Linked DNA regions of Oreochromis niloticus. The protein of the gene in region 1 interacts with the protein of each later gene in a pairwise test. Links are inferred from orthologs where the notes say so. Each region holds a gene or a part of one and is shown in the gene's direction. Other genes may lie near its edges.

Region 1 (10,311 bases):
ATAAGAGACTTTGCAGTGGACAAAAAGTAGAACCATTTTTACTTAGAATCAAGCAGCTGTCAAATGTTCGGTTGTGCGATTAGCATTATAAAGTCAATTACAAATGTTTTATTTCCTCTTTGAGATGTTGCTTTTTCATTTTTAGAAAGTGGTCGAAACAGTGTGAACCATGGTGTGAATCTAAGTGGCTGTGCTACATTTCCACACATCCTGCAGTATCTGCATATTGCAACGTTACCACTTCAGAAAGCTCAGGGTAAAACAAACTTTTTAAGGGGTGAGGTGCCTCTCTGTAATTATCATGCTAAGATATTTTTGTCTTTTCTTTCTGTTTTTTTTTTTTTACAAATCAGACAGAACCACAGCTTGGCCTTTGATTTCAATGGAAAAGCAGATTAGCAGTTGTTTAGACCTGCTCATAAAACAACAACAAGACTTCTCACTAAAGAAATACTTAAATGTGCTGTTTGGTGAGTTAAAACCACTCCCCATTTGATAAATTATTAAGCTCAGATGTGTTAAGTTAGATTCCTTTCTGAAATATGGTGGGCGATGTGCAGCTTCAGTAGTAGAGCCACATGCCTCTAATATCAGTAACACTAAAGACTGTGAAGCTGCCCAGATCAGTATCTTCATTTTTCGATCATAGTGATGCATAAAACCACAGTCCACACTGGCTGTAACCCTCCTAACCTTCACTCTGCCTGAAGCCGATTTCTTAAGCTAACTTTATATAAAACGTTAACAAAAGTGAGAGAACTGAAGTGTTAAAATGCAGGTGAAAACATCATGCAGTGAAGGATTTGGCAGGACGTGATTAAAAAAAGAAAAAGGTTTAATTACGGCATCCTGATAAGGACTTCAATGCCAAGGCTACAGTCGTCTTTAAGACCAAAATGACAAAAACAACAAAAAAAAAAGTAAGGTGGATTAAGAGGTAAAGCACCATCACTGCAACCTCCTTCAGAACCTCCTTCAATACTTGTATTCAGCTGACAGACTCCTCTTCGTGATCCAGTCTCTCTCTGCTCTGGCTGATCTGACCCCCTTGAATCTTCTCCAGTTCAGATCTTGGCATGCCAACAGGCAGGCGAGAGACAAACATGGCCATTATATTTTGTATCCCTGTGTTGCTGTTTTCATACACTAACAAGTCGGCGAACTTCACCTCTGGAAGGGTTTGCGGACCTTCTTCCTCCTCCTGGGGGGTTTGCCACTTTCAGCCCATGTCTCGCTGGACTCGGGCCGGTGACCTCCCGGCATGTAAAAACCTGTCTGACTTGGAGGAGGGGAGAAGGGAGGCGCTCCAGCACCAGGTGGGTGATGAGGCGAACCTGAGTGGAAGAAGCTTCCATTGGCAGCCATGTCACTAGGAGGTCCTCCCTTAAAGATTCGGTTGAAGAAGTCCTGCAAATCAGCTGGGTTGGTCGGACCTGCCGCGTGCTCCGACGGTGTCCTGAAAGATAAGATGGAAATTTAAGTTTGTCAAGTGAAATAATGTTATTGCGTGGAGAGGAAACTTTTTGACTTTAATTGAAATGAATAGTACAGCTTTCTTTATTGTAAACGTTGTTATTTCAGCAATACACAAGGGGGAGCTCCTCCTCCTGCCATGCATGTAAAATACACACACACAGATGACAGACTGAGAAAGAAATAAAAAGAACAAATATCAAACATGTTTACATTAATCTAATTTAAGCAAAGTCAGACATTTTAAAGCTTATTTATTTTAATTTCTTCTCTAGTGCCAAAAGGTTTGCATTTTCCCCTCTCTGCACATTTAAAAGGAAAACTCTCCAGTCTGCTGCTGGCAAAGGGCAGATGTTTAAAAACAAGCGGGATAAACCTGAGCCTTTGTGTGGTTTGTTTGTTTAGATCGCACTCAGGTGCAGACCAAAGCAACCACACAAAGACACTTTGGAGGTGGTGGTGTCAGTACAGTTCCAAATGAACTCCAGATCAGCTCGTTTATGTTGTGAACATGATCCGAGCTCGAGCCAAACCAACGACCAGGTGTGCGTTGCAAGTTTGAGCCATGCATGCTTTAAATTCTTGAGCGTGACAAAGTACTATTGACAAGAAAAGGTCTGCACGGGCCAGCAACTAGCTGTGAAATGAACTTTCCAATAGTCCAGAACACAGCATCATCTTCCTGTATTTACTTTTGTTGCTCCCACTTCAGTCACATCTGGCCAATAAGTGGAGTAAACATTGTCATGTGGTTTGTAGGGATGCATTTCGGTTGCTTGGATTTTTCTCCATGTTGCGTGAAAACAAACAAAATCACAGGGAAAAGTTAAAAACTCATCAACTGATGCAGACCACTTAATGAGTTTGTAACTATAGGTGTGAAAACGCCCCTAAGTGTGATGGAGAGGGATCAAACTGTTTGTTTTGCTTCATAAATATTAGATACTGTATCCAAACGTTCACCCAGAGGGATGTACCTGTGTCGTGTGGCATTGCTGTTGTTCTTTGAACCAAAGGAGATGTGATACGGGACCCGGTGTGTATCAGGAGAAATTCCAATTCTCTGGCAACCTGCCCACTCTGAAACGAGATAGTATCATAAAAGGTCACATGACTGAGAGTAAAATGTTCAGCAAGAAAAACCCGTAGCTTTCAGTAGCCTGTCGAAGTATCAACAAAGATCGCTGGTAAATGCAAACTCTGAGATGCACTAGTGGTTTGTTACTAACGAGCCGGCCAGGTAAACAACAGCTGATGCTCACCTGTAATATCATACACCTTGCCATCCATACAGGCAAAGTATGTGATGCGTAGGCCCAGCATGCTCGATTCAGCCCACAGGTCCCCTTCCTCGGCGCTATGGTAACGGTTGCATTCAGCACAGAACCGGGCCTCAGCGGGTTCACGATCCATCTCGAAGCGCCTTCACACACACACAGGAAACAAAGAAAACACACATGTGCTGAAAGCCTGCAACACAAGATTAGCTACAATTTTTTTTAGAATCTTTTGATTTCATGTGCAGCTGTGTGAAGGTGATGCTGGATGTGTAACACCATACTTGTGTTTGCCTTCACACTTGGTACACATCATAGTATTCATGGCTTCCTTCAGGTCATCCTGCAGTTTAGTGAGAAACTCGTTCATGGACTTTGAGAGCTCAGTTGCTGCCATGCGCTTCCTGCGTGAGAACGAGTAAGACAAGTTGTTGATCAGAGATAATGAGTGAAATGTCAAACTTGCTAAATAACTGCACTTGAGTGAGGTTTGTTTGTTTTACCAATAAGAACTAAAAGAAATAACTAAAAAAAATCACTGCATTAAAATAATTGACAAGACGATTTAAAATACAATAAATAATTGTGATTAAAATATTTCTTTCTTTTGTGGTTTTATTGTTGATTTTTTTCCCCGTGCACTTACAACTCATACTCTCGTCGTGTCTCTGGATTACTGACAATATCCCAGGCAGCTCTGAGCACTTTGAACGCCTCTCCAGCTCGTGGGTGTTTATTCTTGTCTGGATGGACCTGAAAGAGAACGGATAGAGGAAAAGGTTGCATGAGTAAAGAATCAAAACTAGTCATTACAGCAGGCATGTAATAGTAAAAATTGAAGTATTTCTGATTCTCACACCTGGACAGCCAGCTGTCTGTAAGCCTTCTTCAGCTCAGTGTCAGTGGCATGCACCTCAACACCGAGAACTGTAAAGGGATCGAGCTCATCCTCTGGTACCTCAACCAGTGCCAGCAGTCTCTCCAACTCCTGGCCTGGTTGAGCTCTTCCTGCTCTGCCAGGTGACCCCGGTGCGGATGGCGGTACATGACCATCCCTCCTGAATAGGCTTCGGGCTTTCTCCAGCAAGGACACTATCCTCTTCCAAACGCGTGACTCCTGAAAAGCCGTCCAATAGTGCTTCCCCCTATCCCCACCAATACGAAGGAAAACCCCCTTGGCCCACTGCGATCCCAGAATAACCAAAGCACAGAAAAATGTGAAACAAGATAAGGCAACTGTCTTTATCCACTTTACTGACCTAACAGTTTTATCCACCACACAAGCTCCTTTGCACTTTGCCCACTTCAGAATCCGGATCGCATCTGCCTTCATTCCAGGAACATCAGTGACCTTCACAAGGAGCTGCTGCCCAAGGTTGTAAAGTTTTACAACTCCAGTCTCCACTCCAACTCCACAGTTGTGAGTTAAAGTGACAATAATCTCAATCATCATGTGGATGCAAGAGATGCACCAGAAGCTCAGAGACTCTGACAGCATCTCCTTGAACGCTAAGATGAGCTGGTTTCCTGTCCTCCGCCGGCCCCGGTTCTGCTGATAGTGGTGGTGGTTACGTCTGCGGGTCTGCTTGTGCCGACCGCCACTTGACATAACATTTCCTCTCTGAATCTGCTCTAAAACTGACCCACCGCTCCTCAGTTTGCACTTCCTTCCACTTCCCATGTTCCTCCAACCAGACTCCCCATTCATGTGCTGCTCCTTTGCTGCATCATCCTCTTCTTGGTTTATAACCTGTGAGTTCTCATTTTCTGTAGTCTTGTCATGCTCAAACTCTTCTGAAACCTCCTCAATATCATCTTTGGCCTCTGCTTCACCAGCCCCAAGGTCTTGTAGAGTGGCTGGGTTTGGAGTTTCCTGAGATCTGAGATAGGCTGTTTTGTCCTCCTGCTCGCACTCATCCTCAACCTCACACTGACTTGAACTGGTCACTGAGGCCGAAACACCATCAGGGATCTCCTCGTCAGTGTCCACAACATCCATCTCTTTCTTAGCAGCTTCTCTTTCCATGTTCCTTACAGCAATTTGACTGAAACGCTGTAAAATCTGACTTTCATTAAAGAGTCCCTAAATCCATAATTTGAGGCCACATTTTCCCCAGGCTCTCATAAAAAAGCGAGACTGGGGGTTCGCACAGGTCAAGTTCAGGTCCACCACATCAGCAGCCACTTGTAGGTATCAAAAGGCTTTTGCACAACTCACATGATGCACTGGAGCTCCTGAAAAGCAAGAGATATGAATCAATCTCCAGGTTTTGATATCACAACAAGTCTGTGTCACCCTACTTAATATAAGTGAATCCTTGTTCCTGTTATTTTTGGCTTTCTGATTTCATATATAACCATAAACCATGTGCCTCTACCTCACACTATCCCTAGCGTCCCTAACATCCACTTTCCCTCCTCTGCACATCTCTACTTTGTCTCTCTAACTTTGTTTCCAAGTGATTTTTTTTTAAATGTATTGGGTTAAATGCAGGAAAAAACCTTAGACGTTCCAGACAACTGAAAAGTAAGAGGAGCATTACTTTAAGACAAATGCTTTGACACCAGAGCGCATAATAACTGCTAAACAATAAGTTTTAAAAGAAACAAAAGGGGGTAACTACAAATTTACAAGTTACGCAGTCAGTGAGCAATGTAGCTGCACGACTTCATCGGTACAACTGTATATGTATCAAGTAGTTACAAATACCCTCTTTGAAGCTACTTTTACGCGTATTTATGCAGATGTGAAAACAGACTACATGCAGTTACCCTGCTTTGTTGTTTGCTAATCCAGTTAGCCAAACAAGAACGCAGTGTGTCTAAAACCCGACCTTTAATAAACAACCTTTTAACTTTTCACAGTAAATAAAAAGGGTATAAAGAAGTCAGTTAGACCCTTAACATGTTAACTGTGTTCAAATCACCAGATGTTTTAAAAGGCGGATAATGTTAGCAGGCAGTCCTGGTGTTAGCATGAGGAAGCAGCCAAGCAGGATGACAGACAGGCGCTACGGGGGCTAAAATTAGCTTGCCTCTGGATAGTTAACCTGGCAACATTTCGACTAAATAAGGTCACAAACGAAGACACAACAGGCGACTGTTAATGCTTTTAGCGAGCCAGCAGTGAACTCTTAGCTACTAGCAGGACTAGCTGAAATATAAACGCCTGTTTCCCCTTCCTGTGTGGTTGGTTTGGCTACTAACGCCAAGACGTGTTTAAACACCGGGACGTCCAGTCCAACAAAGAAGGCAAATAAAATGCGTTTTGCATTAAAACAAATGAAATGTCATATATACCTCTCGGATAACTGTATAACCTTGTTTGTTAACAGACATCCAAGTGTCGGTGTTGTTTTGTTTTTTTTAAGCCACTTCTTCTTCTTCTGCGGCTCCTTTTCCCACTTTATTGCTACGTCCTCTTCCGCCTCCAGCTCCCTCTTCGCGGTTTGCGCGCGGTTAAAACACAACAGCGGGACTCTGCTGCCATCTAATGTTTTGGGAATAGCTGACCGTTAACGGCTAACTTTAGAAATGTGGGTTAAGAAACCCAGCAACCCTGTTTTTACCCGAGTCCTAACTTAGTTCATAGTAGCCTGCTAATCACACTCGGAGGAAAAAGGATAACACATTTTCCTTAATACTAAGATTTGCGTGTTAGAAGCCCACGCTTAATGACCACGATGTTTTGGTCTGGCTTATTTTTTTCAGACTCCATCTTATGCTCACAGTAAAAGGGTAGTTGGGTTGTTATTTGTAACATATGAATAAATCCCTTATTTCTAAAGTGCGTGGTGTAGATGTACCTAAAGGCCACTTAAAACTGCAAATGGATAGGCACACAATACATATCTTAGGCCATCACTGTGCAATAGAACAATCATATAAAATGTGGCAAACAAAAAGGATTGGAGATGCTGGTGTTGGACTTTGAGCTTCTTTCGAGATACTGTTAGTCAATTTAAAGTCTCGATTTGGTGACTTGGTCCTTTACTTTTTCAAACATAACAAAACAAAATACAATACTAGCATTTAAAAACTGCTGGAGCTTCACCCACTCTACCACCTCCTACATAAAATGGGGGGAAATAACAGAACTGGTCTTCAGTAAAAATTCACATCTGTCACGTCAGTTTATTCTTATCTATAGAGGTCTGTATAGTGTATAGCTGGCTGCTTGTTTTGGGAGTCTCTGACATAGTAAAACGGTGGGAACCCCCTAAAGCTTCTGCATAAAGGACTAATCTTGAAGACGCAGAGGGTTAATTTCAAGCCCCCACCACCACCACCCACATCTCCAATTTGAAAGCCGCCTCTCTACCGGGAGAGGAAGGCTCTTTTTCGGTCAGATGGCGTGCTGCAGTCCGCCCCCGTCATTCTCCAGCCCACACAGACAGCAAAAAGGCAGCCAGCAACCAATACGGTGCGCCGGAGGAGGATTTCTGCCAGTGATTTCAGACGAGGTAAGATACGCAAAGGGGATTTACTACGCCAATCTGCGCCGAGGAAGCTGTCGGCAATAGGTAAGACGGTAAGAAACGAATGGGATAATAACTGCGTTGTCTTTGGGTGCTCTCCTCTTAACATCTGGATAGTAAACAGTTGCCTCCAGTCGATGGCTTTATTTGAAATGGAGCCAATAAAACGAGTGTTTCCACTTTAGTGCAGTCTGAATGCGGTTCTGTCTGTGATCAGGAGATTTTAGTTTTTATTTCTTTTGTCAGTATTGCTCCGGCAGATCCGACCCGTGACATCGGTGGCTGGAGCGACACCCTTGCGTAATTACGCCGGTTTCCTCTTTACACATCTGTAAAGCTGACCTAAAGAAGGTAAGAAAAAAGCGATTTATGTATATTCAAAGGTTAAGTCATGAAAAATATAATGAGTAGATAGGAGCTTATTCTGCCCCAAGGGATGCTTAAACTTGCTTTTAACTGTTTATCAGTTTTTATTATTTCACTATATTTGTAATTTGTATTCTGTATATACTAGGTGTGGTCCAGATGCCAAAGTCTTTATCTAAATAATTAACTTGTACAGGATTTCTCCATCTGCAGGTTCATGTCTTTCCTTTCTCCTGCCTAAACTTTCCAGTGCTGTGTGCCATGTCTCTGCCACGCACACTTGGTGAGTTGCAGCTGTATCGGGTCCTCCAGAGGGCCAACCTGCTGGCCTACTATGAAACCTTTATCCAGCAGGGTGGTGACGATGTCCAGCAGCTCTGCGAGGCAGCGGAGGAGGAGTTCCTGGAGATCATGGCACTAGTTGGCATGGCCACCAAGCCACTGCATGTGCGTAGGCTGCAAAAGGCCCTCCGAGACTGGGCGGCGAACCCTGCCCTTTTCAGCCAGCCTGTTGCTAATGTTCCTCTCGGGGGCATCCCGCTCTTTAAAGTTGATGGCACTGGCACAAGTGGATCAGCTGGCGGGCCCAGAAAGTCTGTGAGTAATGGGCAGCCAGGATCCCCCTGTGAGAGAGAGGATCGGATGTGCCTTACACCAATGCACAGCGGGAGTCCAAGAAGCCCCTGTTCCCAGGCCTCTCCACAGCCCCCAGACACACACTACAGGGAAAAACTTTCTCCAATGGATCCACACTGGCTCAGCCCAGAGCATGATGGGAACTGCACTTTGGGTTCTGCACCTGGAACAGAAGAGGAGCCATCCAGCCCACCTCTGCTGTCAACATGTCCTCCCGGTCCTTCCACGTCTCCGAGCCCCTCTGCGTCTTTCACCCCGGCAGCTCCGTCTGCCTGGCCCGGAGGACAGCTGGATGGGGAGACAGCAAGGGCCGTGGTGGAGACTGTGGAGAGGCTCCTCACGACCCTGCCTAGGTCAGATCCTGCAGAGGTGAAGACTTTGCTGAGGATGAATAAGAAGATGGCAAAGACTGTGGGACACATCTTCAGAATGGGGTCCCAGGACGTGAACAAGGAAGAGGAGATCCGGAAATACAGTCTTATTTATGGGCGCTTCGACTCCAAGAGGAGGGAAGGCAAGCAGCTCACACATCATGAGGTAAAAGCATCAAAGTGAAGATGATGTTAATGCATCGCAATATGTTTTATACCTGATTAAAGCTGCACTTCATACCAGAGTGCAGCTTTTTATCAAATGTCAATCAGTGTCCATCCCTTCTGCAATCAGTGTTTTTCCTTCTCAGCTGATCATCAATGAAGCTGCAGCCCAGTTCTGCATGCGTGACAATGCCCTTTTGCTGAGACGGGTGGAGCTCTTTTCTCTGGCTCGGCAGGTGGCGAGAAAATGTGCCTACACCTCCACGCTAAAGCATGCAAGGTAAGAAGACGCCCGCAGAGAAGAGCAACACACCTCACGCCTGTTGTGTTTTAATGGAGCTTGTGTACCAAGAAAGAAAAAAAAAACTGTTAGAGAATCAGGGGTGTAGCTTGAAAGATCCATAAAGTCCAGATCATTCGCAGCCGTGAACACAATGCTTATTTCAGACTGAGGAGCATCACGTGAAAAAACTTGAATGAAATGATTTTATAGTTTGTGTTTAGCATGTTCAACAGGTGATTTATGTGAGTCATCAGCCAACCAGTGGATTCATTTCCAGAGTGAACCTGGTTCACGTCTCAGTGGGAATCAAACTCCGACCTGTACTGTTAGCTAAATGAGCCAACTTTTAAGCCGGTACAAGAGAACACAAATACTACGTGTATTTGTTAACCTGCACAGAACATTTACATATATTTCTCATGCGGGGCAAACAGAATGAGTCAGTGTACACAAACCATAACTAAACAGGAGTAGTTTTGTAATTATATTTCAGTTTTTCAGCATCATAATATATTATAATCGACTGTTGATGATTGAAAGATAGATACCAAGTTCACAGTCTGCTCATCTAACAATAGACACCTTTTACTTATACATAAAAATAAATTTTTTACTTACTCACAGTGAAAAAAATGCTTTGTCTTGATTTTGCAGTGATCGTTTATTAGCTATGGGTAGAATCCTCACCTCTGTGAGGGGTGAAACCATGTGCTTTTCACACTCATTTGCCCCCCAACTGCAGGACGAACGCGGACGAGAGCAGCCTTCTGCCCCAGAAGAGAGCGAGGCTCGAGGTGAGTGTCGGGTGCACTGGCAGTCATCTGAAGTGGTTCATCAGCACCGAACTGACAGTGTTGCTTGTGTGATGTATCTTAGGGAGTCGTGCCCGAGAGTGTGTCATCGCTCCTCGGAGTGGAGGGATCCGAGAGTTTGACTCAGAGGGCAGATGACGACAGCTTATCTGCAGAAAGCCTGGACAGTGTATCACATGGTAAAAACAGAAGAATCAGACTGATGTTAGAAAAAAGAATTAGAAAAGTAATAAAACCTGTTTGTTTTGGGGTTTTTTTTGTAACGATCTGTCAAAGTGTTTGTTTTTGTAAAAACTCTTTAAAGGCAGCATTAAAACCCAGATCTGTCTGTTCTGGTAGACATGGGCTCCCAGTGCAACCAGTCTCCATCTCCCCGTCCTCACACTGACACCTCCAACCCCGCCAGCTGGAGTCGCCACCTCATACAGCAAACGCTCATGGACGAAGGGC
Region 2 (10,003 bases), on another chromosome or scaffold:
ACACGGATTGTCATTTTTAATACATAATATTAAAGTACAATATTCGTTTTCTTGTACAGTACACACACTGCAACATAATGCAAGAAGACACACCACACTCATCAATCATTTGACATTTACTTGAAATTAGTCCTTTAGAGATGTCAAAAACTGCAATGAAAAACCTTTTTAAAATGATGCTTAAAGGGTAAAAAGCACCTTTAGAATGAGAAGCACTGATGAGGCACCACTTTAGAAAGACAGCACAACTTAGCATAGCAGCTAAGTATATGTTAGGCAGACTGTGCCTTCAATAGTGACGGACGTATAAAACAATAAAAACAATCTTAAATGAGCCGTACCTTCAGCTTAAGGCACAAACAGGTGTGTGCAATAGAGAATGTTCATATAGAGCAGGAATAGAGAGAGGAGCCCTAAATACTGGAAGTATGATAGTGATTGCTGGTTGTAGTGCACATAATGATTAACTTTAACTCCAATCACAGACAGCTATACAATACAGTGTTTGGTGGATAAGATGAAACATATGGATTCTCCTCTCTCTGTATTCACTTCAGTGTCACTACCATAGAGCCCTGTGTTAGAGAGATATTGCTTAAAGGTAGCATGACACTATGACAGTCCCATTATAATGGCAAAATTAAACAGTTTCCCAATTTATATTGTTTCCTCCTTGTGATTAGAAACTTTCTAATTCATAATTAATCTTATATTTTGTGATGACTTGTTACAGGCTGATTAAATATGTCAGCATCAGACATCTCACACATTAACGTCTTGGTCCTGTCTGGTTAAGTTAACTTTGATTCCTGGTATAATTTTAACACATTTCTGTGTACTGAGTACTGATAAGAATAGATATAAATACCCAACAATAATTTAAAACCTGAATGCAACATGAATGTTCAAACACAGAGTAAAGAAATGTAATTGTTATGTTAAAACATGTACTGTATAGCTATATTTGGATTTCTCGCCCCAGAATCAAACAAGATTGAGGAAAAGATTCACCAGCAAAGCCAGAAGTGAATATTATGCTCTGTCACAGTGAGCTGTCTTTTAAACATGTGGACTGCAGAGCTACTGAACATAAGCAACTTAATGGTTACATCACTCCCACTGAGGAAAACGCAGGGAAGTCCTGCATTCACACTGTGTAGTCTAGATCGGCATTCATCTTATTGTACATGTCATATATAGCATCAATAGTTGCAGAGAAGTTGATGAGAAATTTTCTGATTTTTTCCAAGCAGTCCTCTTCCTTGACATCCCGACCCTTGGAGAGGGCTCTCAGGAAATCGGACTTATACGGAGCAGCAAAAAGAGCCGCCTATAAGAACGAGCACAGATTTTACTCACAAGCCTACGCGTCTAATGAGCTTATAACACATTTATTGTATAAAAAAATATTTGCAGATACTTTGGATGCACCTTGAACAGTTGTTGCACAAACCAGCCGTGATATCTTTTAAGTGCTATTTCATAGGCTTTGGTGACATTGACTCGGATAAGGTTTGGATTGTTCTCGTCCTTTTCACCGTCCACCAGGCTCTGAAGGAAAACTTGGATGAATTTTAGACCCCTTTTGGACAAGAAGACATGCACAGTGATTAAGGACTTTTCTCAGCTTGACAAAGCAAGTGCAGCACAACAGTCTAAAACAGGGATCTCAAACTCATTTTACATCAACGGCCACATTAAGTGGGTCGGACTCCACTTTCTGTCAATGTAAAGACTTTTAACTACACAGTCAGTCCCTAAGATATCTTAATAAAAGATGAAGAAGTGTCGTTTCAACAGAAAATCTCAGTTTTTATAATGAAAAATGTGTAAAATTACAGAAAAAGTTCTGCTAGCACTCTGCCCAGACAAACGATGAACTATTTTGACGTGGTATGAATGGCTGTTGGGGATTCTTTATCAGCAGGAAAAGATGTCAAATTGATAGTTAAAAGTATTTTTAAAACTACATTTTAAAATATAGTTAAAGGTTTAAAATATATGCCCTCCTTCATGTTTTAGAAAATCGTCCACCGGGCCTACTTAGAGTCTTTGCTGGGCTGATTCTGGCCCCTGGGCCTTATGTTTGACACCCCTGGTCTAAAATGTAGAATTTCTCACACCTTTTTAGCCACATAAGTGCCAAAGTTGCTCCAACTTTGGGCCATTCTCCTCCGTGCATCTCCTTTTCTGCCTCCAAAATCTGCTGGAGAGTCTTGAACCGCCCGGGGTTGCTATCATAAATTGACTTGATTTTCTGTTAAATAAAAAAGTTATTGTATCATTTTCTTATCCATTAGCAATGTAGAAGTCAAGGGTCAGATTTACCTCATTGCCATACTTACTGTGATGTTACCCGATAGGTCAGCCTTGATCGGTGCGAAAATAGTAGAGCCGAGGCAGTCTGAGGAGGAATATTTACACAGGCTGTGACTCGCAATTAAAGAAGTCAAAACTTATTTCCCCCACACATGTGAACAAAAACCACTGAGCTCATATGAGATGATGAACATTCTCTTTGGAGGTAATCAACATCTCCTACTAATTAACACAAAAGCTAAATTTGAATCTGTATTAAACTTGACTTAAACTCTGGTTTGAATGCACAGCATCATCTGTGGGGCCTTATGAACAATCTCACAACCCCTTTAGCAACTTGCTGTTAACAGATGACAAGTTTTTTAATTATAGTTGTCTTTCATGATACAATGGTAACCCTTAATCCCATGTTTGCTATTTTACCTGTCCATATTTGTAGACTGTTGAATAGTAATGTCTTTGAAAGTGGTTTACACATTCGCCCCTGATTTGTTTCTGAAAGCAGACACAAATCCCTTTGGAGTTGCATCAGGCATCTGTTTTTTTTTTAAAACTGAAAACTACCAAATCAAATAAATAGAGCTATGTGCTGTGGCGACCCCTCGTGAATAATGATATAGCTTTAGTAAAATGTTGGAAAAAGCATGTGCAAAGTGCCAGTGTTTTTTTGCACCCCCTGGTTAAAAGTTTTAAGCCTGTGTAATCTCTGACCACACCCTGCATCAGTGCTGCACGGCAGGTATGTTGTAGGGTGACAGGTTAGCATTTACTCTACAACTATGATTATAAATAAATGAAGTGCAGGATTGTTTACTGAACAGTCGTTAAGAAAGTGTTTTTTCTTTGTTTTCCCACCAGTGACAGGTCAAAATGTCTGCGGTGACAAAAATCTGCTAAGCTGTTTAAAATCTGCTGTTGGAGAGCGAGTAACAGACACATCACAGTGTTATCATTTGGTATCTGTTAATTAGGCGATGCTGAGTGAATAGTAATAATGAACAACAAGACATCTCGAGTGTGGACCTCACATGGCCCATGGCTGACCTGCTAACACAACAGACAGCCTTTAGCCCTTGAGCTGTTAGTGGAAACTACCCATGACTAAGCCTTTTCTATTGTGCAATGCAGTGTAATGCATCACCACAACACTAATGGCATCATTTAATGTTTCAGATCCCTTTAATTTCCATACACTCCACGGGGAAAAGGTTTTTGTATTAAATATTGGACTTCTGAAAAATACTAATTATTTATTACTAATAACACACATAAAGTAAAACTTACTAATTGAATTGAATCAGAATGATTTGAGGCAAAGCCATGATGACATTTTACTACTAACTTTTACTACTACAGGTTAAATAGCAAGTCTCTATTTAGATATAAATAAAAATAAAATACACTGGTGTGGTGAAACGAGACTAACAGGAGAGTGAACGTGCCAGTGGAGTGAAGTCTATTAGGGCACTAATTAGGCAAGAGAGTTTCAGACACCTGTGTGAATGTACTATGAGTGTGCGGGATGGTAATGGCCTGTAGGAAAGTTGGCTCAAAAATTTCTGGGTCAGGAAGAATAATGGTGACAAGGAGGAAAGAGCTTAATATCGACATCAGACTTGGTTCATCTCAAGGGTTTCACGTGGCAAATTCAATGGAGGGACTTTGGCATATTAATAGAGAATGAAGCCGCACAAAGATGCCCTGGCGCACCGCGGCACCGGTGAATGGGCAAGGGGAACTCAACACCGTACTAATCAATTTTCACAACTTAAAATCCAGGCCAGTGGAGTAAATTATGCATGCTAAAGGATTGTGGACAGGTTGGTGGAGAGAAACACGATCCAGAAAAGATTATCATTAGGAAGAGCAACATCGTTTTGTTAAACGAGATGGAAGTGTTGTGACAGATTTATCATCACTACAAGTTCAGTGTTTAATAATCAGACAAATTCCAAATAAAGATTCACCACAGTGGAAAAAAATGTCCATTGCATGGGTGGTAATTTTAACGTAAACTGCACATTTTTGTACCTACTGGACCAGTTTAACAGTCGTGGACGTATAAAGCATGATCAGTCAGTGGCATTAATCTGGAAGCCTGAGGTTAATCATAAAAACCACCACAACTATACATTTTCCCTGTTGTCATCTATTTTTTAAAATTCACCACTTCATTTGCAGTCCCATTAACGCAGTCTCCCCTGTGTCACACTGTGGAAACTCCACTTACCAAAGAATGGTGGAAGGTATGACACAGCTTCCAGAAACGGTCTTGTTTCCACCTGTCTGTCAGCTGGCAGCTGTCTGAACTGGTGCTCCATTAGCAGAGCCATCTCTTTAGTCCGGATACACTCCTAACTGTTGAAATGATAGCAACAGGCTGTCAGTCCTCCACTGCAGCTTCACAGTGATAGGAGGAGGAGAACACACACACACAGAGAGAGAGTGAGAGAGAGAGAGAGAGAGAGAGAGAGAAACATCTCTCTCTCTCTCACACACACACACACACACACACATACACAGAGTGAGCGAGAAAGAGAAACATCTTTCTCCCTCTCTCTCTCTCTCTCTCTCTCTCTCTCTCTCACACACACACACACACAGAAATATCTCTCTCACACACAGAGAAGCCTCTCCTTCTCTCTCTCTTACACACACACACACACACACACACACACACACACACACAGAAATATCTCTCTCACACACAGAGAAGCCTCTCCCTCTCTCTCTCTTACACACACACACACACACACACACACACACACACAGAAATATCTCTCTCACACACAGAGAAGCCTCTCCCTCTCTCTCTTACACACACACACACACACACACACACACACACACACACACACACACACACACACTCACATGGAAGTCACCTACACTGAACTCCTGGCTGCAGAGGAGCTCATGTGATCGACCTGTTAGTGATAGATCCGGGCCATCGCCACCTGCCGGGGTAAGAGGCCGGATAAACGGCACACTTCTGCCAGACAGAAGAAACAAGTCCAGAGTAAACAGCACCTGATGTGCTCCATCAGCTGACACTGGTCTTCCTCTGCGTTTAATCACATATGCTCCTTTGCTGCCAACTAACGGAGTCTGGTGGAATATCGCTCTTTGGTTCCACCTAATTTATCTGTTTATCTGTTTTGTATTATTTCGTTAGTTATAGTTATCCCAGCATTCGTGCAAGCATATAATAGCTATGTAATATCTTACTGTAAAAGACAGACAAAATAGTATCACACATGAACTTAACAGTTTTGGATTTTACTTAGTTTATTTCATTTTAGTAATTTTTAGTTTAAACATTTTGTGTTAAATGTAGTTTAGTTTACAGAGTAGGTTTGCTCGTTCTTATTGTTAATTATTAGTTTCATATAAGTTCTAATTAATATTAATATTATTAATATCAGTAGTAGTAATAGTAGTGGTAGTATCAGATAGATGTGTCGAAATTTCGACATATCTAACTGAAAATTTAAAGGAAAGTTACAACATTTCAACACACTGACCCAAGAGATAATCACATAAAATCATGACTTAATGACGACAAAGACAAAGAAAATTCAGTGGCGGAAACAAACTTCCAACTATGCCTTTCGCGTTTTCCGCCACAAACTAAATTTGACCTTCACTTCATCCCGTAGCGTGTGAGTAACTAGGAAGTGTATGTATCGGTAACTAAGGAAAGCTGTAGTATTGAAGTGAGTAAATTTAAGCTTTCTGTGCGTGAAAGCAAAACGTCGATTGTTTTTTTAATTAAAAGCCAAGGGGAGGCAAACCGAGGTACCACCGAGAGGTAAAGTGGCTGCTATCGTTGTAGCTAAACGCTCCTTTTATCCGAGTGCTGATGGGTAGTTAGAGCTGGTAGTCTTTTGTTCTTATTGTTTTCTTTATTCTTTACGGCCATGAAATTATAAATGTTTTATGGGTAGAGCACGTATAACAATGAAGATATTGAGCTGTCTTCGGCATCAATATTTGTTAAGTAACTAATTACTTTAAAAAGCAGTATCAGTGAATATATGATGGGGCTAAGAGACCTTTGACTTGTGATGTCTACATTCGTCCATATTGACTGGCTACATGCCCTAATGAAACTATGTCTGCACTGTTATTTTTAACAAATTTAATATCAAGCTTTCATTTGTGTTAACTGTTCAGGTTCATGGCTCTGCCGACACTTTCGACCCGTGTGCCCAGTCGATCTCGGGTCCTGGCCGACCAGCTGGCCCGGCAGCGGGAGCAGGAGGCCCGGTGGCGGCAGCAGTGGGAGCTGCATGCTCAGTACTTCAGAGAGCAGAGCATCCGCAGCCAGAAACAGACGGTGTGGAGCTCCCGTCAATCCTACCAGCAGAGGTAACTTCCTCCAGCATAGATGCTCTCACTCACACGGTCTCCGAAACGTTACACAAATATTGAAGCAATCCAACTAAATAACTACACATTGCTTTATATTTAGTGATTTTATTTTTGTTGCCTCCTTACATTTTCTTGTCATTAATTTTACATGATTGCCATAACGTACTCCAGCATTATCATCCTGTTTCTCCTTTATTGCCCTCAGAGATGGCTCTGTAAGTAATCACGTCATGTCATATATAAGTTCTGTGTTGTGAAAAAAGTGATAGTACTTGACACTACTCCCTACCTTTTTTATTATTCATTTAGGTAACACACAGAGTCTAATAGAAAGCATGAAGAGAGTATTTTTCCCATGAGGGGACACCATAGGTATGGCCAAGCACATTTTATGATTGGATCTGAATGGAATGCTAACCAGATAGTTACTATAATATTATATTATCTATATTGTCATCATGTATAAATGAAAGACTGGAGCCAGAACATAAGCAAGACAACTAAGGGATGATGACCAGAAAAAAAGGTCTTCTTATTACATCAGATGCAGTAGAATCACCTAAAAGCACATCCTTAAAAAATAGTTTTCAGAAGTGAATCAAAGATTTCGAGTAGCCTATGGCAAAACTAGGCTAACCTTTATGTTGAAGTCTCGATTTTACAACAGCCGGAATGGACTCATCTCAGTCTGGGAGCAGACTCACGGCCAGACCGCAACACTTTAAAGGTGATCAGGAAAATTTAAAATCTAAAACCTACAGGAATCCAATCTTGTGAAGCCAGGATCATCCTGGAAATACCATAAATACTGGAATTACAATAAATAAATGTTTTCATGAATTCCTTTGGATTATTAGAATATGCTGGTATGCTAAGAGAAGTAGTGTTCAGTTGTTTGTTGTACTGTGGGTATACCATAGTGTATCTTCCTTTAAATCTGTGTAACAATACATATATATGTATGTCATATTTGTTTGTCTGTATAAATTAGTTAAAAAAATAGATAAAGAGCTTTATGTTATTATAGTTATTGTGTTGCTCTTTGTCATCATTTGACTAGTATTTATTTATTTTTTTTACCCAAGTATTTTTCTTCTTCTTGTTTTCAGTATGTCAGCATACCATAAAGACAGACTGAAGGAAGAAGAAAAAGCCCACTTGGAGCAGCGCAGGAATCGACTCAGGGCAATGCTGCAAGAGGAGCAAAACCAGCTGGAGGCAGAGCTCCGAGAGATGGTGCCCGACAGGAGCACGTTGGCAAGTCAGTTGGTGCAAAAAAGTGAAGAGCTTCGCACGGCAAGAGAAGAGAGAAGAAAAAAAGTTGGTGGAACATTGCCCCATAAATATTGACCACAGTGTTGTGCCATGTAAGTTTGTAATCCCCTTTTGGTTTTTTTGTCATGCCTAGCTTGCACAGGAGCTGTTGAGGGAGCACTGGAAGAGAAACAACCAAGAGCTGAGAAGGGTAGGCAAGTTTAAACTATTGATGCAAATGTGACAAGTTGCCGAGCCCCATACCTCAGACCTTGATGTGTGACCACTGATGAAGTGTTTGACGGCTTCAGGAATCTAGTGACCACGCCATACGTCTAGAAGGTTCACCAAGTAGAGGAAACAGACACTTTTTGTCAAGACATCCATTTGATCTGGAAACCTATATGGCCTGTGATGCAGATATTCCATGACTTTCTGTTAACCTGATTCCAGTGTTGACTTAAGAAAAAGAAATGTTCTGGTATCCCTTCCACCTAGGGTCAAGGTCATCAGTATCTCTGTCTCAGCTTTGTCACAACTCACTCTTTCAATCTGTCTGCAGCTGGAGTCAGCATTACATAAAGATCACGTTGTCAGCCAATGGCAGGAGCAGATATCTGAGAAGAAACAGGTAGGTGGATCATTCCAGCCACCAGACAAAGTCAATTCTGTTCATTTCAGTGTTTTAATAACTTTGATAGCCAGTATTGAAGAAGTTGCTTCAGTACTTCATAGTATAGCCCTTCTCAGACCAGTATTGACACAAATGACCCACGAGTCATTAAACATGTCATTATCTTTTTATGTGGCCAAGTTTTTATGTAACGCATCTATTTTTAATTGAACAGTGCTCGTGTACTCTGTGAGCACAGTATCACGGCCGCAAACTACTCTGGTCAGCCCCTCAAAGGTGGTGCATAATTAAGAAAGCTTTGACACTTACTGTAAGTGACCCAGCTTGTCAAACATGCAGAAAGAAGTGGCGTACCAGGAGGAGACGAGACGCTTTGAAAACGAGTACGAGAGGACCAGAAGAGAAGCTCTGGAGAGGATCAAACAAGTGGAGGAGAAAAGGAAAGAGGAGGAGCGTAAGAGAGGGGAGGAGCTACGCAAGCAGATGGAAGAACTGAAGCTGAGAGAAGAAGAGGTATTCAGAGCATCAGCAAACTATTTCTTCTGTGCAAAACCACCTTTGCAGACTTTTTTTTGTAAACAAGATTATTTTTTATTTTTCTCTTTCAGGCCACTCGTCTAAAAAAGGAGCAAGAGGCTCTACTGGTGCAGCAGTGGGAGCTGGAGAAGATAGAGGAGGACAGGAGGAAGGCGGAGGAACAGAGGAAGAAGTTTGAGATCGGGTATGTGAAGCTTTTTCTCCAGATGATCAAACACAAAGAGTGGTATGATACTTCATTCTACTGACGTACTTTACATATGGGATTCATGTTGCACTAGGCGTTTCTTGATCCGTCAGTATCGAGCTCAGCTGAGAAGAAGAGCCCAGCAAGTGCAGGAAGAACTGGTAAATGCTTTTTTTTACCTGCAGATTTTACTGTGTAATAATCCAGATAAGTTCCCCAGACCTTTTCTTTGGAATCCTTTTTACAACACCAGGAGGCCGACCGTAAGATCCTGGCAGCCTTGCTTGAAGGAGAGGAGGAGGACAGGAGGCTGGAGACTGCAAGAAGGGAAAGAGCTGTCGCTGACGCCGCCTGGATGAAACGTGTGATTGAAGAGCAGCTGCAACTGGAGCATGAGAGGGAAGCTGAGTTTGAAGTCTTACACAGGTGAGCGCCAAGATTTAGTAAGCCTCAACTCTCCAGAAAGGAGCACGTGCGGCTCTGTGAATACAAATCAGTGTATCCCATCTGTTCATAGGGAAGAAGCTCAGCGTGTCTGGGAGAAACGAGAAGTTCAGTGGGAGAAGGAGAGGAAAGCCAGAGAACGGCTCATGCATGAGGTAAATTTCTCTTGGAGTAAAACTTTAAGTAAAGCTTAAAGGCGTGAGTTCAAATAAAAGCTGTCCTGTTTTGGGTTTTTCTTGTCTTTTTTGATAAGG
Region 3 (10,600 bases), on another chromosome or scaffold:
CACCAGGAAACAGCAGTGAAAACAAAGATTAAAAAACAAACAAACAAACAAAAGATAATAAAGACCATTTCCCTCCATTATAAAATTCATAGTACTTGTACTGGAGTATCATCTAATGATATTTCTCATCAAAAAGACAGCTGATTGGGAGAACCAAATAGAGAAAACTCATTTAGGAGGGAGCAATGAACTCACTAATATGCCAGAAAATGACTGCTGCCTCAAGCAGAGTTGACACATTCTTGCTATAATTGGATCTACGACACTTCATCAGATACGAGATAGAAATGGGAGTTGTGTAAAGTTCCTCCCCTCGTGCATCACTGGTCACGATTCATTAATTTCAGCCCAGATAAGTGACTGTAAACACATCAAACACACTAGCTGTCATCAGACTGGAGCATCTTCTCGATCTCTTGATCCCACTGGTCATCTTTGTTGTCCGACTCAGTCACCACCTCATACTCCTGAAGTTCTTGCTGCAGCTCCTTTTCCCAATCTGCTGATTCATCTGGATATAAAAGGGAGGAAGTATTATAAGCAAAGCCATTCTCTTACAGAACAAGAAATACGTCGAGCTTAAAAAAAAAAGCATAGGAACTCTTCCAAAGCCAACCATCAGGAGAAGGAGGACTGTCCTTCTTGTCCAGCACCAGCTGCTCCATCTCTTTCCTCAGGTCCTCCTGGTTTATGGCCGTTGAGTCAAAAGCATCGCTAACAAACTCAGACACTCCCGGACTTGTTGAAATCTCCTCCTCTTCTTCATGTGTTGGCTAGGAGGAAAACAGGCAGCAGAGAAAGAGGAAAGCGACTCTTGATTTTTTTTCTTAACTTCTTGAAAGGTGGTTGGGAAAGTTCAACGTGTGTAGTGCTTTTACCTTCTGTATGTCACTGATGGAAACTGGTGGCGTTTTTGGTCTGACATTGTCTACAAAGAAATAACACATTGTTATTACAATGGACTTACTCTTTAACCTCTGACCTTTGGACGGTGTCTGAGGTCATTTATCAAAATCTGACCACAAACCTTCTTATAATCGCTTTTACCATGGATGCCGCCTGATCCATTTAGATAGCTCTATAACACTACATAATATGACTTCTTTACCGTTGAGTCCTTAAATAAAATATCTAATTTGTTTCCCAGTTCACCCAAGCAGAAAATACAAAACAAATTATGTTTTTCATGTTTATGTTGAATAATTAAAAAAGACAGATTTCTTTCCCTAAATAAAATAATTGAATCACATATTCAGATATTGTGTTGGAAGTCCACAGGTGCTACACAGAGATTCCCAAACAGCACTAACACAGTACTTAGCTCAATTTTGTACATTGTAGCAAAGTGTTGTGATGTGGGGGTAGTGTTAAAAATATGTGGAACAACTGGTAATGTGGGCTGCTCTTTATGTTTCCACCAGTGTTGATCCTTAAGCTTAGAGAGAAAACCTACATTACATGACATACTTCTTCCTGGTGATCATTTTTTTCCTGGTTCCTTTAGCTTATCAACCAATCAGCATTCTATCTACATAAACCATCACTATTGGGCAACTTGTTCTTGGCTTTTTGGACAACTACCCTCAGCGCCTCTGAAAGCCTTTGTGTTTGCTGAATTCTTACAATCTCTCTCTCTCTCTCTGCAGCCAATGAGCTACTCAAACAGACAAGGACAATAAATTCCACATCAGTCTTTACAAACACTGTATGTGCCCATTTAAATGAGGGAGGAAAAGAGTTTTCAGCGATGCATTAAGAGGATTGGGTTTTTCCATTTCCTTCATTATGACTTCACATCAAACAGACACCTTCCTTTTATTCCGAATGCTGTTACCAGAGTATCAATAAAGCCCAAGAAAAGAACACATGGCAGCAATTTCTGCCATCGATTCCAGTGTGTCAAAGAACAATTTAAAGTAGTGCTGTTTGGATATAAAGCTCTCTGTGGCTCTAGACCACAAAAGATCTGAGCGAGTAATCTTTAGTCCTCTTGAATTCTCAGACCATCTGGCAGAGGGAAGCCAACGTTTCCTAGAGAGCAAAATAAATATAGCTTTCAGCTCCTTTCACAGTTTCTGCTTTTACATTTTAAACTGATACCTTTGTAACTTTAAGAGAGCTGTACCGCTTTCTTTCTTACATGGTGTTTAGATGCCTGCAGGACTGTGAAGGTCTTTGACTGTATAAACCACTTTTATAAAGACACTACATTTAATTTTTCCACTGTTGAATTGAGGTTGTAAATCTGCCCTGCCTTCCTGCAGCTGGGATACCACAAAGTTTGCTTGGTGGTCTCTACCTCTCTTGCAGAGCTAAAAATTCAGACCTGTTAGGACGACGTCTTCAGGTGAAACACTGGCCCCTTTGTCCACACTATCCTTCCGCTGCTGCTGGGCTGCCAGGGCTGTGAGCTGAGCCGACTGCTTGATCAGAGACACCCGGTAGAAATAGTTCCGCCAAAACATCTCCTCCTTCACACTGTCAAACACAAACATGTCACCATCCATTTTTAAATATCAGTTTTAGATTGACTCTGCTATAAATGGAGGCAAAAACAGGTACATTTGCATAGACACACACTTAAATACACATAAACACACACACATAAATGTTTCAAGAGCACTGACTGTTTAGGAACCAGGTCAAAGCGCATGCGGTTGAGGAGCTCATCTTCTTCCAGCATGACTGCAGCTAAAGGATACATCTGCTCCATGTCGAAATGGAACTGAACACCAGCGGGAGGGTCGCGGAGGAAGTTCCTCTTGTCCTAGAATCAGCAACCAAATAGCTCAGTTTCTACTCAAAGCATGATTTATAAATTTAAATAAGTAAGACAGCAGCCACAAAAATAGCTACCCATTCATACATTCATACTGCATATTGTGCATGATGCCTTTTCTTACAGCGGACAGAGCGAGAATTTGTTGCTGGATTGTTTCCTCTTCATTGTAGCCGACCCATGGTGGCACTGCTGCTTCTACACAAACATGCGTGCACACACACACACACACACACACACACACACACACACACACACACACACACAGTCATGTACCATCAGTCATCAGTTCCAATCCTTATCTCTCAGATGCACACATGTACACACCTGGTTCTCTGTAAATAGAAGCTGCTTGGCCAGTATGTGACATATGCTGATAAAATCATGATATCATCATTTCTGCTGCCCCTCACAGGTGCAATGTAAAGCTGAAGATTACACAGTTTATCCCAGTCAGGTCTCACAAGACTCCCATTTTAAACCAAGTGTATCACTTTCAAAGTGCAAGTTACACTTTCAGAAATTAATAGCTGAACTTTTTGATTGATATGTTTATTTTCATAGTGGTTCAATAATTGCCTTTGGAAAACGTTATGACTACACTTCATTCACCTTGTAGCACCAGTTTAATTCTTCATTGCTCAGATTCAATAAAATTGTGGAAATATCGTGCAGCGATGTGATTTCATGATAGCATCACACAGCAGATGTTGCAGATTTGTCACTGTAATCCCAAAGGTGTTTTATCAGATTAAGATTTGGTGACTGTAGAGGTCATTACTAAATAACATTCATGCTTTAAAGTCTGGTTTACCTGATTTCTTGGCCTTCTTCTCCTGGACAAATTTCTCTTGCTCTTTTTGGAAGTCTCCTAAAAACGTCTAGAAACACGCACGCATGCACGCGCGCGCACACACGCACGCACGCACACACACACACACACACACACACACACACACACACACACACACATAAATAGATTGGAAAAGTGGATACATAAATAGAAAGTGTTAACAAAGCAAAAAGTACTGAAAAAGTCATGATAAAATCCAGGATTTTACTTGCATATAAAAAAATCTGGCAACTTTGTTACAAATTTTAGACTTCAACATTTTTAGACTTAAAAATACTTTGAAAACCTTTTTTTTGGTAATGTTTAATCTACTCAAGCTATTTTTATTGATCAAAAATTGCCAAAAAATAACAAGAAACAACAAGAGAATGTGTAGCCTATTTACAGGACAGTATGTTTATGTGGATAATAAAGCCCTGAAGTCCAGAGGCATAACTACTTAATAATACTACAATATCCAGGTAACTTCAGGGTTAACCCCTGGGTTTTCTGTACTATAAAGGTGGTTCACGTCTTACTTGGGGTAAATCGCCATCCGGAGCAAGTTAAGATCCAGACTAGAGATCAACAGATATGAACTCACTGCCTACTGATTAATCAATTCTCCAGAAAATAGTGTCACTATTCTTGGAAGATCCCTCAAACTTCTGTGCACAAACAGGAGGGTGTAAAGTTTTCTTTTATAGCGTCTATAGCATCTTTGTTTCCCTAATAAGCCTAGGTAATAAATAACATAGATTTCTAGACACAACTTTATTCTATTATTTTTTAATAAACAATTTTACAACAACTTTATTGTTCTACAAGTATTAATATCTGATCCTAAAATAGGACACCTACACTGTACTTGCTGAACTCCTATCAAATTTGTATGTAGACTAAGCCTATATTTGAATAAAAAAACAACAACTTTACTCTCAAACCTTTAAACAGCACTGAGTTTGCAGCTGAGAAAATCCAAAATCCAAATGTTGGGAGCAGGTTATGTTCACAGTTTGTCAGAACACAGAACACATATAAAGAATACCTGTTCAATCAATCAAGTTAATTTTACTTTGACCTGCAACAAACCAAAGTGATTTCAATGTCTTCTTTATTAGACTAATAAATCTTTAACATTTAAATTGATCTAGTTTAAGTTTCAGAGTTCTAGGAGAAACCCTGGGTTAAATTAGCGAACTGATAACCAGCTTTGTGTGCCAGTTAGGGTAAGCGAATACAGAAAACTGACCTATGAACTCACAAATGCACATATGAACCCCAAGCCATTTTTAAAATATGCAAAACCAGTCAAAAAGAATTTGAGAGCAAAATACCTTGTCTATGATGCCATCAATTTTTCCTTCTTCCACTGTCTTCTTGATGGTCTGGGCAGTCTCCACCATTGACTCAGAAATTTTCTTGGTGGCATTAGAAGCAAAACTGAAGATGTAACCTTCAAATACAGAAAGAGTCCGTTAATAAAATCATTACCACTGCAATAAAAGATACATATATGAGGGAACAGATACTCCTGAAGTCACATTGCTCTTGCTCGGGGTGAAGAACAAACAAAAAAGATGAACAGGAAAGCCTTCAGGGTCAACACAGATAGAAAGACTTACGTCACGCTGAGTAACTTTGAGCACATAGCTTAGAATTAATTAAGAGTTAATTATCCAGAAATTAGCTGTTCCTCACCGCCCAGTCCAGTGGACTGTTCCGAGTTTTCCTGCTCCGCCTCTGGTGTTCCATCTCGGTCAGCTGGCTGCTGTTTGTTTACCTCGGTTTGTGCTTCTACCACCTTCTCTTCCTGCTCCACGTTCAGCTTTTCCTGGTCAACCGACGTCTTCGTGACGGTCGGGCCCTCCAGACCCAACCACGTCCCTAAACCTTTTAACATGCTGGTGGAAAAACACCGATCGATTAGATTAAAGATACGGAAAAACAATCTGCACGGACTCTCCTGACTATACAACCAGGAAACCAGGAAATAAACTGACGTTTTCTTCTTCTGCGTTCTCGTATGTGCAGTTGTGGGATACTGCCACCCGGAGGCCAAATATGGGAAGTGTGGTTTGATGGGTTGTTGTTAGTGCTATGGTGGAATATATTAATAAAACAAAGAGTATTTATCAGTCAAAACTATCACAAAAGTGTTGCACGTTGAAAGATCTACACCTTTACTAAAGTAGAAAGATGGTATGTCTTATAAATTATGTGCTCATTGTGGGCAGTAGAGGAACTACTACGTTTTAACGCAACATCCAAAAGAAGCTGCAGGTGGCGGTAATGAGCTGAGATTTGTTCCACTTTTTGCGGCAAAGCAAGATAAGGAGAAGGAAGACCGGTGAATTCGTGACGGACTCGTACCGGTAATTTTGCAGTTGCTCACCATTTTACATTATTATTATGTATTTTATGTGTATTTATCTTGGGTATAGTTTACTACAGTTTATTACAGAAAGCTATGTAATCCCAGTCGCTTGTCTTCAGCACGTTAGGAACCGTTGTAACGGACTGACTAGCTCTACCCGTGGGATGTATACTTGTAAGGGGACGAGTTTACACGTACTGCCTTTAAAAAACAAGGCATTTAAAAGTTGGTTAGTTTTAACGTAGTCTTGATGGAGAAAAGAATAATAAATGTTGTTAAATAAATGTTATTTGAGATGTCAAGTAACAATCGGCTTTAATGGGAAGGGTGATTCTTAAGAAGCGAAACTGTGGGCTCAGTTACTTGTGTTTTGAGCTGATAAGACGTAAATAGGCCGCTTGAAAACAGTATCCGTTATCAAACGAAATAATAGAAGGGTGGAGCTTAAAAATAACTATTATCTTGCTTAATTTATTTTAAAAAGTTAGTTTTTGTGCTATTTTGCTTTTAAGGTGAAAAATGAAAATTCTGATGGTGTTTGATTTTGACCACACCGTGGTCGATGCCAACAGTGACACTTGGGTGGTCAGGTAGGTCAAGAAAGTTTTACTACAGCTGTTCAGATAGCATATATGACTTTTCCCAAGTTTCTTGCCATCTGTATGTATTATCTTGACAAAGATTTTCCTATTCTTTGAGCATAATATCAGTTCCTCATGTCTGTGGCACTGCTCCCGCTACTACTCTGTAATTACTGTTTTATACCAGGACCTCAATACACCATTAGAGAAACACTATGGCTGATTTATCCTGATTTATCTTCTTTATTTATTCCTTCTGTCAGGTGTCTTCCTGATAAGACACTTCCTGGCTCTGTGGAGAATTCGTACAGAAAAGGCTACTGGACTGAGTACATGGGCAGGGTGATGAACTACATAGGTGAGAGTCTGTCATGCTGTTTGTTTTTGTTTTACTACTTCCTGAAATCTGCCCTCAACATTTTTTAATCTATGCCCGCAGGAGAGCAGAAGGTGAGCCCAGACAGGGTTCGCAGTGTGATGGAGACTATCCCCTTTACAGCTGGAATGACTGACTTGCTGACATTTATAGCAGAGAATAAAAGTGTCATTGACTGCATAGTCATCTCTGATTCCAACACCTTGTTTATAGAATGGATTCTTCATGCTGCAGGACTCCAGGCAGCTGTTGACAAGGTTTTTACCAACCCAGCTAAGCTCAATGAGTTGGGCCACATTGAGGTGCAGTGCTATCATTCTCACGACTGCAATCGATGCCCTGTCAACCTCTGCAAGAAAAAAGTCCTGGAGCTTTACCTTTCTGAGCAATCTGATGCTGGCGTGGAGTATGAGCAAATCTTTTATGCGGGGGATGGGGGGAATGATCTCTGCCCTACTTCCCGTCTGAGAGGCCGCGATGTTGTAATGCCAAGAAAGGGATACACTCTGGAGAAGCTGCTAGCCAAACTGGAAGGTCAGGAGGGCAACTTTCCTCTAAGAGCTAAAAACATTGCCTGGAGCAGTGGCACTGACATTCTCCGGGAGCTGAAAGCAAGCATGCAGTCGTAGCCGTGGCACATGAAATATTACAAATATTGAGCCTGCACTGCAGGATGCATTATGCTGCCCGTATTCTTTTTTTTCATATTATAATTCAAAATTTAAAAAAACAATTTCCGAAATGTTTAACTTATTTAAAATGACAGCATTTGCACACGTAAACCAGTCTTTTAAAAAGGGTAATTTGTCTGCAGGGAAATTTACCTTTATCTTTTATCTTTGTGATCTTTACAATTTTTCTCATTTTCTATGGTGATTGAAACTAGAGGCGCCTGAAATCACTAACAATACGTAGGGAGTTCATCACAAGGGCAGCTTTTACATGTGCAGTGTATGTTGGACACTAGGTAAGAATTCAGTTAAGATTATATTTAGTATAGTATTCAAGATCTCAGTTGTTGGGACTGATCCAAGAAGCAGAGATGAACCAGCAAGTTAACTGGATCTGATAAAGTAGAAGTCAGGGAAATTTCTGAGCAGATTTGAGACATGGATTAATTTTAGTCCCAGACTACAAGAAAAATTAAAAGATGTCTCCATTGAAACGTTTCTGGACTAGGGTTTCTTGAAAGGTTCAAGTTAAGGGCATTTTATTAAACTGAAAACCTTAAATCAATCTACTTTATGCAGTCTGCACTATATCTAGCCACAGTACTGTGTCAAAATATTAAACCACCCCTTATTTCTTCAATTTTGGCAGAAAGATAGAAAATAGGTACAGCAGTTTATTGAAACATGTGGAAACATGCGTGGAAATTAAGTATATATAAGAAAAACAGCATTTTTCTACAGTTATAAAGATAAAAAGTCAATATTCGGTATGACCTTTACTTTTCAAAATTATTATTAAATTAATATTAATTTATTTTATTTTTTATTTTCCCCAAACCACGAAAGAGCGTCCTGTTTTACACACTGACTGTTGTAGTGTTTTTTCTAAAAGCACTTTGGAAATCAGCTCACTGGTACTAAAATACAAATTTATGCCTGTCAAACTTTGTCATCTTTGGTGTTTTTACTGAAGCAAACTTTGTGTTTTTGTGGCAGGCTGCTAATAATAATGTGCCAAAAGAAAAACAAACGTAAATTCATTCTTTGCTAAATCATCTGTTATCTGTAGATACACCACTGGTTGCTCATCTCTTGAGTTAGGTGTTTTTTTTATTGCTTGAATGATTGATAGGTCAGTGTGAAGTAGCAGAACTAACAAAAATGTTCCTCTGAAAATGGTCAGGTACAGGGACTGAACTAAGTGAAAAAGCAGTGTCCAAGGAAAAGCTTTGGAAGATCTTTAGAAAGCCTGGAGAACTATTACTGAACACTACATTATCAAATGAAAATGAAGTCTGACTCCTTGGAAGCAAAATATAAAGAAATGAGGGGTGGCTCAATACCTTTGCACAAGTCTGTTTGTTGTTTGTATTGAACTAACAATAAAAAAAAATCTCATGTTTTGTGGGTCTAAACACACGCTAACTCAATTTCCCAACCTTGAATTAAGCCTGGTGATTAAACTCTTTACTCAGTGGAGACCTTCACTGATTCTTTTCTTTCTTTTTTAAATTTTATTCATTTTGTGAGGACCAGACTCGGTCTGTGTTTGGGAAACTGGCTGACTGGATATATGTTAATATGTCCAAACCAATGAACAAACAATGGGTTCTGGATATTACATTTAATTACATTTACTTTATAGTTTACAAATGTTAGTTGTCTTTTACACTTTATTATTTTATTATTTTTTCGTTATGAACCTGACAAAAACACTATACAGTTCTTACCTGCTATATTCTGCGTAAGGCATTTTGATTTATGAAAAGAAAAGCACTGGTGTTACTGACGGCGTTGTGATGTATTATATTCAAATGTTCCAGACAGTGTTACAGCATGCACAATACCAGGAACTTGAAACTGCTAAATGGCATTAAGTTGTCTGTTTTAGTGTAAACTGACTAAAAATACATCTGTAAAAGGGACATTATGATGTAACTAATACATACTTTAAATAAGGTGCTTTTGTCAACATTTTGAATGTAACATTTTTACATGAACTTACCTCAGCTGATATCTGGTTAAGAAAGATTTAATACGTTTCAACAGTTTTTCCACAGTTGCAATTCTTTGTTTGGGGTGTTAGAAAATGCAGATGAAGTCATTATTATAACTGGTCCTAAAGGATTGTACTTGTTTAATGTTATTTAGCATTTAATAGAGCTGTGCTGCTCTGTAGTCCTGAATCTTTCTGTTCTCCAGTATTGTCGCTGTGTTTTACAGATCAGGTCTGTTTCTTTTAAGTTGATTTTTGAAAGCAGGTTTGGATTAATGCGACTAGTACATTAAATATAATGTGTCTATTGAATTGCATAAACCTCCATTACCTTATAAGCTACCTGAACAATACTTCCATGTTTGTTTTTATCACGTTAACTCTGAAGTACAAGCAGCTGCATTTAGGATTTTGCTCAGGTTTCTCGTAGCCAGTATGTATTATCTGAATAGACTATTCAGTTTTCTATGTACAACTTCAACAGCCATGCTCATGGAGACATATGCATTGATTGACTTTCTGTTGCCACTGTCACAATCCAGTTTGATAAAATAATATTGTGTGTTCTTAATATGGAATTCCAATAATTAAATCAAATTAATTACCTCTTTGATTCTTTTTTCTCAGGGTTTACTCAAATCCTTCTAGAGGCAAGTCTTACTTCTCACCAGCAGTGATAAAATATTGGGGCCCATTTCTTTAAAGTATTATCTCCAATATATTGCCATACTAATGCAGTGCAAACATTTTCCACTGCAGTAATTAAGATGGTTTTGTAACACTGTAATGGTGAGATTTCATTATATTGTGAGGTATTGCCTTAAATCTTGTTTCACAATGAGCAATTATACTAAAAATATCAAATGTAGTCCAATAGATTTTTGAGGGGTGCCGACTATACAGACTGTCATAAATGGATGAAAACAAGCTTCTCGTCAGAAATATTAAATTAGAATAACAATTAATTTTATTATTTCTATTTAAGATT

Evidence for each region. The genes of interacting proteins can lie anywhere in the genome.
Region 2: the proteins of nab2 (region 1) and tchp interact in binary tests that used the Homo sapiens proteins (3 or more experiments, as listed by UniProt). The two-hybrid records come from large-scale screens. The link is inferred for Oreochromis niloticus from reciprocal best matches to the Homo sapiens genes NAB2 and TCHP.
Region 3: the proteins of nab2 (region 1) and phospho2 interact in binary tests that used the Homo sapiens proteins (3 or more experiments, as listed by UniProt). The two-hybrid records come from large-scale screens. The link is inferred for Oreochromis niloticus from reciprocal best matches to the Homo sapiens genes NAB2 and PHOSPHO2.

The regions. Positions count from the first base shown.
Region 1 is NC_031970.2:24,801,192-24,811,502, reverse strand, and holds the start of nab2 (NGFI-A-binding protein 2), read left to right. Parts: upstream 1-6,353; 5' UTR 6,354-7,281; intron 7,282-7,474; 5' UTR 7,475-7,579; intron 7,580-7,807; exon of another isoform or gene 7,808-7,844; 5' UTR 7,845-7,855; coding exon 7,856-8,767; intron 8,768-8,912; coding exon 8,913-9,046; intron 9,047-9,791; coding exon 9,792-9,843; intron 9,844-9,925; coding exon 9,926-10,040; intron 10,041-10,200; coding exon 10,201-10,311. Other genes in the region: dnajc14 (dnaJ homolog subfamily C member 14), read right to left, coding at 1,165-1,456, 2,451-2,553, 2,736-2,896, 3,035-3,154, 3,397-3,503, 3,610-4,776. UniProt on the Homo sapiens protein: Acts as a transcriptional repressor for zinc finger transcription factors EGR1 and EGR2. Isoform 2 lacks repression ability.
Region 2 is NC_031977.2:18,098,975-18,108,977, forward strand, and holds the start of tchp (trichoplein keratin filament-binding protein), read left to right. Parts: upstream 1-5,149; 5' UTR 5,150-5,284; exon of another isoform or gene 5,285-5,351; intron 5,352-5,983; exon of another isoform or gene 5,984-6,130; intron 6,131-6,495; 5' UTR 6,496-6,499; coding exon 6,500-6,690; intron 6,691-7,802; coding exon 7,803-8,013; intron 8,014-8,101; coding exon 8,102-8,158; intron 8,159-8,509; coding exon 8,510-8,578; intron 8,579-8,920; coding exon 8,921-9,094; intron 9,095-9,189; coding exon 9,190-9,302; intron 9,303-9,399; coding exon 9,400-9,466; intron 9,467-9,558; coding exon 9,559-9,731; intron 9,732-9,822; coding exon 9,823-9,904; intron 9,905-10,002; coding exon 10,003-10,003. Other genes in the region: gltpa (glycolipid transfer protein), read right to left, coding at 1,148-1,330, 1,432-1,582, 2,124-2,257, 2,346-2,404, 4,550-4,652. UniProt on the Homo sapiens protein: Tumor suppressor which has the ability to inhibit cell growth and be pro-apoptotic during cell stress. Inhibits cell growth in bladder and prostate cancer cells by a down-regulation of HSPB1 by inhibiting its phosphorylation.
Region 3 is NC_031965.2:35,616,338-35,626,937, reverse strand, and holds phospho2 (pyridoxal phosphate phosphatase PHOSPHO2), read left to right. Parts: upstream 1-5,746; 5' UTR 5,747-5,986; intron 5,987-6,500; 5' UTR 6,501-6,507; coding exon 6,508-6,578; intron 6,579-6,832; coding exon 6,833-6,927; intron 6,928-7,008; coding exon 7,009-7,574; 3' UTR 7,575-10,218; downstream 10,219-10,600. Other genes in the region: syap1 (synapse-associated protein 1), read right to left, coding at 381-511, 617-773, 879-928, 2,327-2,478, 2,628-2,767, 2,904-2,977, 3,594-3,660, 4,949-5,067 and 1 more. UniProt on the Homo sapiens protein: Phosphatase that has high activity toward pyridoxal 5'-phosphate (PLP).